Linked DNA regions of Macaca fascicularis. The protein of the gene in region 3 purifies or fractionates together with the protein of the main gene of each other region. This does not show direct contact. Links are inferred from orthologs where the notes say so. Each region holds a gene or a part of one and is shown on either strand. Other genes may lie near its edges.

Region 1 (3,647 bases), on a different chromosome or scaffold from region 3:
GTCTTCTCATCCTCATTCATTAAGCTCACCACCTCTTCCACCTTGGGCAACAGTTCCAGCGCCTTCTGCTTGCAAACCACAGTTTTACTGCAAAGAATAAACATGACAAACTAATGGCATTTGGGCTGGAGAAAATGGAACCCATGGCAGCTGTGCATCCAGTCAGCAGCTGCAGAAAGTCTCTTCATGAGGTCCAGTGAATCAGAGAGGAGGGAGGAAGGTGGCCTCACACCCAGCCTGCATCTCCCAGTCCTTCCTCCAGAGTAGGAAGGGCGGGGCTCATACCTGAGCTGTGTATAGATCACTCGCACTTTCTTCTCGAAGCTCTGAATTGCCTGAAGCAGCAGCCGTACCATTTCCTGACTGTCACCCTCAGTTCGCTGGTCTGGAGAGGGGAGGGTAGCATAGTTCCTCAAGGAAGCCAGCAGAGAGTAGTGATGCCCCATAAATGAGATAAGGAGAAGCCCAAGGCAGACACAGAACCCCACTTACCTCGAGGCTTTTCCCTTAGTCTCCTGTACAGCTCCCTTGCTTGCTCCTCTCTAAAATATACAAAGAAGTTCTGTCTAGATTTGAGGTCAAATATGGCTAATTTTTATATTTTTTTGGTAGAGATAGAGTTTCACCACATTGCCCAGGCTGGTCTCGAACTTCTCGGCTCACAAGCAATCTTCTTACCTTGGCCTCCCAAAGTGCTGAGATTACAGGTGTGAGCCACTGTGCCCAGCCAAAAATATATATATTTTTTTAAATTAGCTGAGCACGGTGGCATGCGCCTGTAGTCCCAGTTACCTGGGAGGCTGAGGTGGGAGGACTGCATGAGCCTGGGAGGTCAAGGTTGCAGTGAGCTATGATTGTGCCACTGCACTCCTGCCTGGGCAACAGGGCAAGACCCTGTCTCTTAAATAATACAAATACAAATAAAAGAACTAGAGGAGAATAAAGGGTTGATTAGAGAAAAGACAGAATCAAAGTTCTGACATTTGGAGCTCCTGTCCTAAGAATCCTAGTGAGAGAATCAGGGAACACTGCTGAGCTCACGGTGACACAGCCCTCAAGAGGCTGACCCGGCCTGCCCGGTTCCCTCCATCTGCACGCCAGGAGGACATGTGATCTCCTTCAGGTAGGAGTGATCTGCCTAGACCCCTCCTCCCCTCCTGGAGTCAATGCCAAATACCTGACAAAGACTCAAACGAACGGATTCCAGGTCCGAATTCCCCCTTGTCAGGTTCTTCCTTCTCTACTTCTCTATCTTACTTTCTGTTCTGAGCTATGCCTGGGTCAGGGTGGGTGGGACAAATCAGGGGAGTCTGATACAGGGGTAGAGGCTGCTTGCATTTTAGAGCCTTTACAGATTATGGCCTCCGTCTCAAATGCGTTACCTGAATTCATCCTTACAACTTCGTGAGGTAAGACTGCTTTTCTTGCCACTGAACAGATTTGGAAACTGAGGCTCAGTGATGATTTGCTGGAGGTGACCCCACAGGGGAGCATGCTCTAGAGAATGGTCCCACACAGCCACTGAGGGTGCCCTGGACACACACACCGAAGCTCCAGGGTTATCTGTATGTGCTAGGCACAGAGGGGCCCCCCAGTCAGTACTCACAGGTCGTCCAATGTTCCCCCCTGCTTCCGGCCCATGGGGCTCCTCTGTAAGTCCACGATGTCCGTCTGCAGAGCCATCATCCGTTCTACCAGGAGTTTCACTTCGTTCTCCTAATGGAAAAGCTGTGCTAATGTCAACTGATGTGGTAGGAGCATGCTGAGATGCAAGATCTGAGGAGGAGCGAGACCTGGGGACCCTCCACATTGCCTGAGGACTCTCAATGGACTGGCTCAAAGGAATGTGGACTGTGGGGTCAGAATGGCTGCGCTTACATCTAGGGTCCACCACTTTCTAGCTATGTGACCCCTTGGCAAGTTACTTACCCCCAGCTGCAGTTTCCTTTTGCATAAAATAGGCTTCTAACAGGGCTATTTGAGGAGTGAAGTAAGATGAAGTACTTAAAGCCTCTGGCATGGTGCCTGGCACACAGAAGATGCCCAAGGCACATTACTTTCTCTTCTCTTCATCTGTCTATGCCGATGCTACTGGGCAGGGAGGCCCAGACTGCTTTATTTCATAGATTATGGGTCTCAAGATGGGGAGGAGCACTCACCCCTTCTATGGTTAATATTCACCATGAAACACATATACACCCCATCAGTACTGATTGATAAAAAGCGATACTGAGACACAGGGGAAGATCCTTGCCCAAGCACACAGGGGAAAACAGAGGATTCGTCCAGGAAAAAGCCCCAGAGCCTGACTTCAATCTTCAGTTCGTGTGACGTTCATTTAGTCACACGTATTTCCTTTGCCTTCATAATTAACGTTTTTTGGTGACATCTGATTCACGTTGTCCTGAGACTTTCTGCCTGGACCTTTTATTTCCTATGGATTTAGCGTCCCAACAAAATTAGTCAAAAACCTTCAACAAGAGGGGGTGTTGATCATCCATCCAATGCCCTTCCTAACAGGAAATGGTCTCGGCTTTTCCCCAAGGGAACCTAACACTTGCTTCTTATTTAAATCTGGACCATCGCCATCCATTCACGCAACTCTTGCATTTGGCCACAGAGGGGCTCCCTTTACTGGCTACTCTTAGCCTCTTTCCAGCTGGTCCAGTCAAGTTCAAAGCATGGTGAGGAACACCTGATTTTTGACAGAGATCGACCCAGTGTTTGATGAGAAAGTGAAAAGTAGGAGCAAAACCTCACCCCCTCGGTAAGTTCAGAAACCCCAAATGAGTCTCCTACCCGCCCACAGAGCTCCACGGCCTGCTCCATTTCCCTCCAGGCCAGCAGCAGTTTATCTGATGCTGAAAAAAAAATTGAGAAGGAAAAACAAAACAAAACAAAATAAAAACACCACAAAACTGAAACAGAAATAAGCAACTCAATTATAATAGGACAAAAGAAACCTTAGAAAAAGAAAAAAAAAATGGTGTCTTTAAACTCATTGCAAAGTGCACACTCACTGATCCCAAACTCAGTTTGCTCGCTGTACTTCTCCAGGTCAATCTGGATGCTGGTTTTGAAGAAATCCAACTTGGCCTTGAGCTGCTGAGACATGGAAGCCATGGAATTCTTCATCTTGGAGAGGCAGCTATTGTTCCGGAGGAGATTCATCCTGCAGGGACCACAAGGAACAGAGTCTAGGAGCATCTCTGGGATCCAAATTCCATTTCCTGCACAATAACAAAACCCCCTCAAATATCAAGGGAGGTCCCTGCTATAATTATCATCATCATCGCTATTATTATAGCAGCCACTTATAACCCAAGGACAATTTCCTCGCCCTCAGCAATGCCTGAGGTTCTGCACCAAACTTGGCACCAGGCAAAGGAAGACACAAAAGGCCAATAATGTTGGCAAACGAGTCACACTGGAGAAAGAGTCCATAAGTCCCCGCAGCACAGTCAGGGGAGTTTTGCCAATCCACATGGCAGCGAGCTCCTCTGGGTTCCCAATCCGTCCACAGCGCGGCCAGCCCAGCCTCAGTTCCATACTCCTCGCCCTGGGCCGACCACACTCACCTCATCAGGTCTAAAGGGGCCTGCCTCAGTCCAGCCCACCCAACTGCTTCCCGTCTGTCCAAACCAGTG
Region 2 (3,747 bases), on a different chromosome or scaffold from region 3:
CCAAACATTCCTAGAATGGACTGTATAGGAGATTAACAATGGGCCATATGGTTATAGGTGCATACTCTTGAGTATGCCCAAAAAACTAAATTGTTGAATCTTCACTTGCTATGTACGTACAAGTTAATGATAATGGTAAATACATTCCTGAAGTATCTGTAGGCCTATACACATGCTGATAATTCAGAGGGACTCTTTTTTTTTTCTTTTCTTTTCTTTTTTTAGACAGAGTCTCGCTTTGTTGCCCAGGCTGGAGTGAAGTGGCGCAGTCTCAGCTCACTGCAACCTCTGCCTCTTGGGTTCAAGCTATTCTCCTGACTCAGCCTCCTGAGTACCTGGGATTACAGGCACCTGCCACCACACCTGGCTAATTTTTTGTATTTTTAGTAGAGACGTGGTTTCACCATGTTGGCCAGGCTGGTCTCAAACTCCTGACCTTGTGATCCACCCACCTGGGCCTCCCAAAGCGCTGGTGTGAGCCACCGCACCCGGACTAAGAGGGACTTCTTTCGGGTAAGTAGATTTTCGCTAGGCTAGCACCCAGCTTTTATTGATCCCATGGTTCAGTAGAAATGCGTCCCAACTAGGTAACAATCAATATTGTTAAAAATCTTGTCTGATTCTCAGGAAGTAGTGTGGAACATGTTTAAGGCCTTCCATGTTGAAATCTGGTCCCACACCAAAGCCTTTGAAAATTAGTAACAAAAATATGGCCGGGTGCAGTGGCTCACGCCTGTAATCCCGGCACTTTGGGAGGCCGAGGCGAGTGGATCGCCTGAGGTCAGGAGTTGGAGACCAGCCTGGCCAACAGGGTGAAACCCTGTCTCTACTAAAAATACAAAAATTAGCTGGGCGTGGTGGTGGGCACCTGTAATCTCAGCTACTAGGGAGACTGAGGCAGGAGAATAGCTTGAACAGGGAGGCAGAGGTTGCAGTGAGCCAGGATCGCGCCATTGCACTCTAGCCTGGGTGACAAGAGCAAAACTCGATCTCAAAAAAAAAATGTTTTTAAGAAAGTACATGTGTATTTTTCACACACTTTACTCAGCCAAGCAACTAAATCTCTATTGTCTATGATTTATAAATCATGTCAATCAAGTCAAAAAATCAGTGACAACTATACGACTGAGGCCTTCCTCCCCCACTGTAAATCTGCCTATTTCAAAAGTTTCCGAGATGTTTTCTACAATGAAAAGCATTGTACTTAACAATTTGTTCCAGGCACAGTGGCTCACGCCTGTAATCACAGCACTTCGAGAGGCTGAGGTGGGAGAATCACCTGAGTCCAGGAGTTCTAGACCAGCCTGGGCAACACAGCGAGACCCCTCTCTCTCCAAAAACATTAGCTGGCCCTGGCGATATACACCTGTAGTCCCAGCTACTCTGGAGGCGGAGGAGGGAGGATCGCTTGTGCCTAGGGAGTCAAGGCTGCAGTGAGCCATGATCTCTCCACTGCACACCTGCCTGGGTGACAGAATGAGATGCCATCTTTAAAATAAAAATTAAAAAAAAGATTTATACTACAGATTTACATCTGGTAAATGTATTCTTTTGTCTTTGCTTTATTTGTTGTGTGTGTGTGAATTTTAAATGTCTGGGATAAACGATCATTTATAAGCATTTAATAAAACAAAAACCCTTTGCTCCTCCTATTAAATAATAGCCTTACCAGCAACTCTTTCCAAACATGATACTATTATGAAACAAGATATCATGTGCCAAAGTTGTCCCGGGGAAGGCTTCACTCACATACAAATGGATGGATAATAGCATGTGAGAAACGAGGAGTTTCTCCACATGTCACAAACAGTATCTTCAAGTGCATGGTCACTGAAGAGTTAAAGTGACAGCAGGCTAGGCAGACCACAACAAAATCATTCCAGTCCACTCCTAATACCTAAAAACAAAGCTGGCTGCCTGCTCCGGAAAGATGAGAGTACCAAAAGAAACCAAACCCAAACATCCCGTAATAAAAACTCGTGACGACTTCCCTGTTTAGGGGCACAACGGGTTTCCTACTTCACTTCCTAAGTGTCAGGCCCTACAGTGGGCGAGCCAAGGTCTCCTCCCTCGGGAGGCTCGCGGACCTGGTGCAGGGGAAAAAACATGAACAAGACCTCAAAGATCTAAATGTAGGGAAGACTCCAATATAGAATTGAGCAGTCTGGAGAAAGAAAAGTTAATTCTGCCAGGAGTAGGGTAGGAGGGGTCGAGGGAGGTGTCCCAGAGGTGACTGTAGCTAGACCCTAGGGAGAGGGAAGGATTGGGGAGGGGTGAAGGAATCCTCCGAAAAGCTATGGAAAGTGACTTAGAAAGGAAGAAGCAAATCCACTGGGCGCCACCGCGCTCCCGTGTCCCGAGACGCCCCCGGCCCCGCCCATACTCCCTCCCGGCTCCCAGGGCGGGGGCCGCGGGGGAAGTAGGAGCGTAGGTGATGCTCCCCTCCCCGAGCCGAAGAGGCGGGGGGTTGCGGCGTCGCCCCTAGCCCGGCGAGATCGGCATGGGGGCGACTCGGACCCCACCCAGCCCTCCGGGAGGCTGTGATGCCGCGCTCCACGCCCGCCACCGCGCGGCAGACAGCTCCCCACCGCACGCGGACACTCACTTTCTCGTGGAAGATGGACTCCATGTTTATTTGTCTGGAGCCAACGGCCCCCACACCGAACCACCCCCTCCAGCTCCGCCCCCTGTCCCTCCCCTCCGCCCACCCCGCCCCGCCCTGGTCCCCCCGCCCACGTGCCGCACGCAGGCCAATCACCCGCGAGGATGCGAGTCACGTGAAGCGAAGAGCGAGTGAACGCCGGGGACACGTGACCTTGGTAGCGCGTCCTCCTAGTTTCTGTTAGAGGGCCTTCTGGGGGATGCTACATCGCCACCTGCTGTCTGGAGGATCTTCTCCGCTTCCCACCCATTTCTATGGGTTCTTAGGTTTCTGGGGGGAGGTTTGGACCACTCACCTGGGTTCGATACTCTTTTTGTTTTCCACTTTGTACTTTCTACTGTGTTCATATAACTATTTACTTTCTTTCTCCTCCTCCTCCACTGAAAATTTAGTAAGAAAAAGCCATCATTACATTCTCCCAAAACCTAGCACTTGTATAAAAATGATAGCTAGGCCGGACGCGGTACCTCATGCCTGTAATCCCAGCACTTTGGGAGGCCGAGGCGGGCGAATCAACTGAGGTCGAGAGTTTGAGATCAGCCTGACCAACATGGAGAAACCCCGTCTCTACTAAAAATGCAAAATTAGCTGGGCGTGGTGGCGCATACCTCTAATCCCAGGTACTTGGGAGGCTGAGGCAGGAGAATCGCTTGAACCCGGGAGGCGGAGGTTGCAGTGAGCCGAGATGGTGCCATTGCACTCTAGCCTGGACAACAAAAGCGAAACTCCGTCCCCAACCCCCCAAAAAAGGAAAAAAGTGATAGTTAATATTTATATAAGGCTTTCTATGAGCTAGGCCCTTTTCTAAATGCTTTGCATATATTATCAAATTTAATACAGCAAACTTTGATGTAGGTGTTGATGCTATTCATACACATGAGGAAACCGAGGCACGGAGACGTTAAGAACAGCACAATGTCCAAGGTCAGATGGTAAGTTGCCTTGCCAGGATTCAAATCCAAGTGACTTGTTACCACTGTAGGTGTTCGGACCCTTTAGAGGGAACTTAGAAGTCTCATAAATTGTGTGGGAGACGGGGAGGTAGCAGCGGTTTGATGAAGCTTGAATGGAAGGATAGGTGCAGA
Region 3 (3,693 bases):
TTGTTTTTTTTAGAGACAGCGTCTCACTCAGTCACCCAGACTGGAGTGCAGCAGTGCGATCTCGGCTCACTACAACCTCTGCCTCCCAAGTTCAAGCGATTCTCATGCCTCAGCCTCCCAAGTAGCTGGAATTACAGGTGCATGTCACCATGCCTGGCTATTTTTTTGTATTTTTAGTACAGATGGGGTTTTACCATGTTGGCCAGGCTGCTCTCGAACTCCTGACTTCAAGTTGATCCACCAGCCTCCCCCTCCCAAAGTGCTGGGATTACAGGCATGAGCCATGGCATCCAGCCCCTTGTTTAATGTGCTTGACAATGATCCCTTCCTTGGTCCTCCACACTAACAGACCCTTTCACAATAGTGTGATGGTGATGAATGTGTAACTCAGGACCCAACTTAAGTATGATGTCGACTTTCTACTTTGGATTAAATCAGAGTCATTTAAAGCTGACTTTTGGTCCCACAAAAGAGCCCCTGTGCCTTACAAGGATCAAAACTGGAAAGGAAGAGGGAAAAGCTGGTTAAGTGTGGAAAATCCTTTCTGATCAACTTGTTATTAAGCATCTGATCATCCAATAATGGAAACTACTATGGAAAAAGCTATCCTTCGGGCTCCATCTTGGAAACAGCTGGATGTAAACAGTAGGATAAGCCTTTTTGTTAAGTCTTGTGTTACTAATTGTCCCCCTTTTTAAGACAAAATCTACAACAAATTCATTCAACAATAGCAAAGCTACAAAGCCATCCAGGTTACCAGTTTCAGAAGACAAGCTTCAAAGGTGAACTCGCCTCGTATGACCTACGTCTCACAGAACTGAAGACTACTCAAACACAGCAAGATTAATGAAGCAACTGAGATCTGTTTTGCAGTACAACGGCATTTAAACTATTGTTTCCAAATTTCTCACTTCAGTAAGTTCATTTCATAAGATTAATGTCAAACTCAACTTTTATCAGCTAAAAAGAAAAACATTATTAGTGATTTTTACATACCATGAGCATCATTTACTCCTCCCCACTGTTTAAGAAATTTTAACTAGATAAGAATCTCCTTATGATTGATTTTTAAAAATCGTTTTTCACTTCCACATTAATATTAAATGTCTCTTATCATAACTTGATTCCAGGAATTGTATTCAAACTTAAGCCACAAAATTCAAGTTTTGTTTCAACAGCAATAGCAGTTTTTTGAATATGCTAGTGGTCGGTCACAGAACTATTTCCACAAGTTGAACAGCTGTGTCTAGCGCAAATCTGAAGGCAGCAATGTAATTCAATTTGGACTCATTCATTAGAAACTGATTTTCAGATGCTGCCACTGCAAGACTACTGGAGAAATGCAAGCTGCGCTGGAGACGGAATTGTTCGCAGCGGCACAGAAGTTTCTGCTGCAAAGGAGAGAGCTCTAAAAGAGGAAATACAACTAGTTCATGTTACCATGAACCAGCGCAGTAGGACCCAGAATTACTGAATGAATAGGAAACTAAATACTTCTCTTAAGCAGCAATGATTACTTAAGAAAGTTTCCAGGGAAGCTGTTAAATGAGAGGAAACAAACAAAAGATGATTTATTCAGTATCCTGCTACATTTTTTTGAAAAATTGGAATTCCTACATGCCTTAACATAATTTTTTGTACATCTACACTGTGAAAGCAACACAAACTCAAATGGAGATGGCAGCCCAAATGAACTTAAATCTGCTGTTTAACTTTCTTTTGAAGTTACACATGGAAATGAAACACACCACAGCAACTTTAATGACATCTTGCTAACGAAGTTTGGATTTTGAAAAATGGAATGACTAGTTCACTAAAAACAACAACAACAACAACAAAAAAAAAAACAAAGAGTTTTGAAAATAAGCACTAAGCATCTTTCCAAGGAACTCACTCATTCCAAGAAACTTCGGTTCTAACTCGCAAGCTGGCGGCTGCTGTGAGTATCCTCTGACTGCAGCCTGATCAAGGTGTCGCCAATCCAGAAAATACACTGCGCTACCTTTGGCCACGATCTTGCTTTCTCTAAGCATCAAAGGTACCCTCCGCTGTCATTCCTCTGGACGGCCACGCGTGTGGACACGGCCGCGGATGGATGCGTAGGACATTACCAAACAAACCCACACACTGCACTTTACTTCTTCCCTCCTGGAGTGCCACTCGGGTCCCCGCGAGGAGGGCTGATCGGGTGCGGGGAGGCCGAGCGCACCGGGCGTGTGCTGCCCAACTCGGGCCCAGTGACAGTCCTGCGACGAACTTCCACCCTCCGGCGCGGGGCGAAGGGAACGGGCTGCGGGGCCTGCTCCGGGCTCCCGGCTCGGTAGGTATCCGCGACCACCACCCCCGGACACTCTCTTTCAGGTGGGGGTGACAGCGCGCCCCGGGCCCCCGCCGCCCCGGACCCCTCCTCACCTGTGCTGTCATTCGCCGAGAAGCCGGGCGAGCTGAGTTTGGCTCGTTTGGGGTTGGGCGGTCCGTCCAGCAAGTTCTCGGCCATTTTCACCTGCTCGCGAAAACAGCCCCGGGAGCGGACGGCCGGGCCGGCGAAGGCCCGGACGGGGGTCGGGGGCCCTGCCGGCTGCGAGGGAGAGCAGCGAGCGCGGCCGCGAGCGGGCGGGCGGGCGCCGAAGGAGAGGGAGGGCGCAGGCCGGGTGGGGGAGGCGGCGGCCAAATCTCAGCCACAGCAACAGCGCCCCGCAGCGCTCACCGCCCGCCCCCGGCCGCCGCCGCCGCCGCCGCCGCCGGCCGCGGCCCCCTCATCCCCTGCCCGCCTCCCGAGCGCGACACTCCGCGGCGGGGGCGCCCCGGCGGCCCGGCCGCCCCCCCGGGCCCGGCTGGCAGCGACGGCGCCCGGCCGGGCGGCTCAGGCAGTCCCCGGGAACATGGTGCCGCCGCCGCCGCCGCCTCGCTCCCCCCCCGCGCCCCACTTAATGAATTCGCTCGCGGCCCGACGACGAGGGGGCTCCGGGCTCCGCTCCCCGCCCGCGGCCCGCCGCCGCCGCCGCCGTGAGGAAAAACAATGCGCCGAGCGGGGTCGCCGCCGCCGCCGCGGCCCCCCCACCCCCCGTTCCGCCGCCGCCGCCGCCGCCGCCGCTGCCGCCGCCGCCGCCGCCGGGCTCCGGGAGGCCGAGCCGAGAGGCGAGCGGGGCCGCCGGGGCGGGCGCCGAGGGCCGGGCGGAGCGGGCCGGCCGGGCGGAGCGGGGTGCGCGGGCGGTTGTGGGGCCCGGGACCGGCGGGGCCGAGTAGATCGCGCTCGAAGCCCCGGTCGGGTCCGCGACAAGATGGCGGCTGTTGATTCCTCAATTAAAAAAAAAAGAAAGTTTTTTTTCTTCTCTTTCCAGAGCCTGAACGGGGAGGGGGTGGGGGCGGGGCACGCCGGTGCGTCACCCCCCCCGCGGCGTCACCACGCACGGCCCCCGCCCCGCCCCCTCCACCTGCGCCGGCCGTGGCGGAAAGAGCCGAGCGTGCTCGGGCCGAAGGGCCGAAGGCCCGAAGGCGCGGCCGCGAAGCGCAGGGCGGCGGGCTGCAGGGCGCGGGCCAGGCCTGCGGGGCGCCCGGGCTCCGGGCTGAGCCTCGGCTTTTGTTCTGATGGCGACGAGGCGGCGAGGGCCGGGGCTCCGGGCCCCAGCGGGCTCCGGGAGCAGCGGCCTGGCCACGGGCTGGGCTCTCCGGCGCGGATTCGACGCCAGCCCG

What was found.
Region 1: the proteins of CREBBP (region 3) and IKBKB purify together in Homo sapiens (affinity purification with western blotting; 3 studies listed by BioGRID and IntAct, with this or other methods). This does not show direct contact. The link is inferred for Macaca fascicularis from reciprocal best matches to the Homo sapiens genes CREBBP and IKBKB.
Region 2: the proteins of CREBBP (region 3) and ATXN3 purify together in Homo sapiens (affinity purification with western blotting; 3 studies listed by BioGRID). This does not show direct contact. The link is inferred for Macaca fascicularis from reciprocal best matches to the Homo sapiens genes CREBBP and ATXN3.

What each region holds. Positions count from the first base shown.
Region 1 is NC_088382.1:45,833,528-45,837,174, reverse strand, and holds part of IKBKB (inhibitor of nuclear factor kappa-B kinase subunit beta), read right to left. Parts: intron 3,173-3,647; coding exon 3,021-3,172; intron 2,862-3,020; coding exon 2,800-2,861; intron 1,717-2,799; coding exon 1,607-1,716; intron 543-1,606; coding exon 493-542; intron 386-492; coding exon 286-385; intron 88-285; coding exon 1-87.
Region 2 is NC_088381.1:160,098,765-160,102,511, forward strand, and holds the start of ATXN3 (ataxin-3), read right to left. Parts: upstream 2,671-3,747; 5' UTR 2,630-2,670; coding exon 2,606-2,629; intron 1,543-2,605; exon of another isoform or gene 1,222-1,542; intron 514-1,221; exon of another isoform or gene 226-513; intron 1-225. UniProt on the Homo sapiens protein: Deubiquitinating enzyme involved in protein homeostasis maintenance, transcription, cytoskeleton regulation, myogenesis and degradation of misfolded chaperone substrates.
Region 3 is NC_088394.1:4,656,640-4,660,332, forward strand, and holds the start of CREBBP (CREB-binding protein), read right to left. Parts: upstream 2,824-3,693; 5' UTR 2,498-2,823; coding exon 2,413-2,497; intron 1-2,412. Other genes in the region: uncharacterized protein, read left to right, coding at 2,883-3,693. UniProt on the Homo sapiens protein: Acetylates histones, giving a specific tag for transcriptional activation. Mediates acetylation of histone H3 at 'Lys-18' and 'Lys-27' (H3K18ac and H3K27ac, respectively).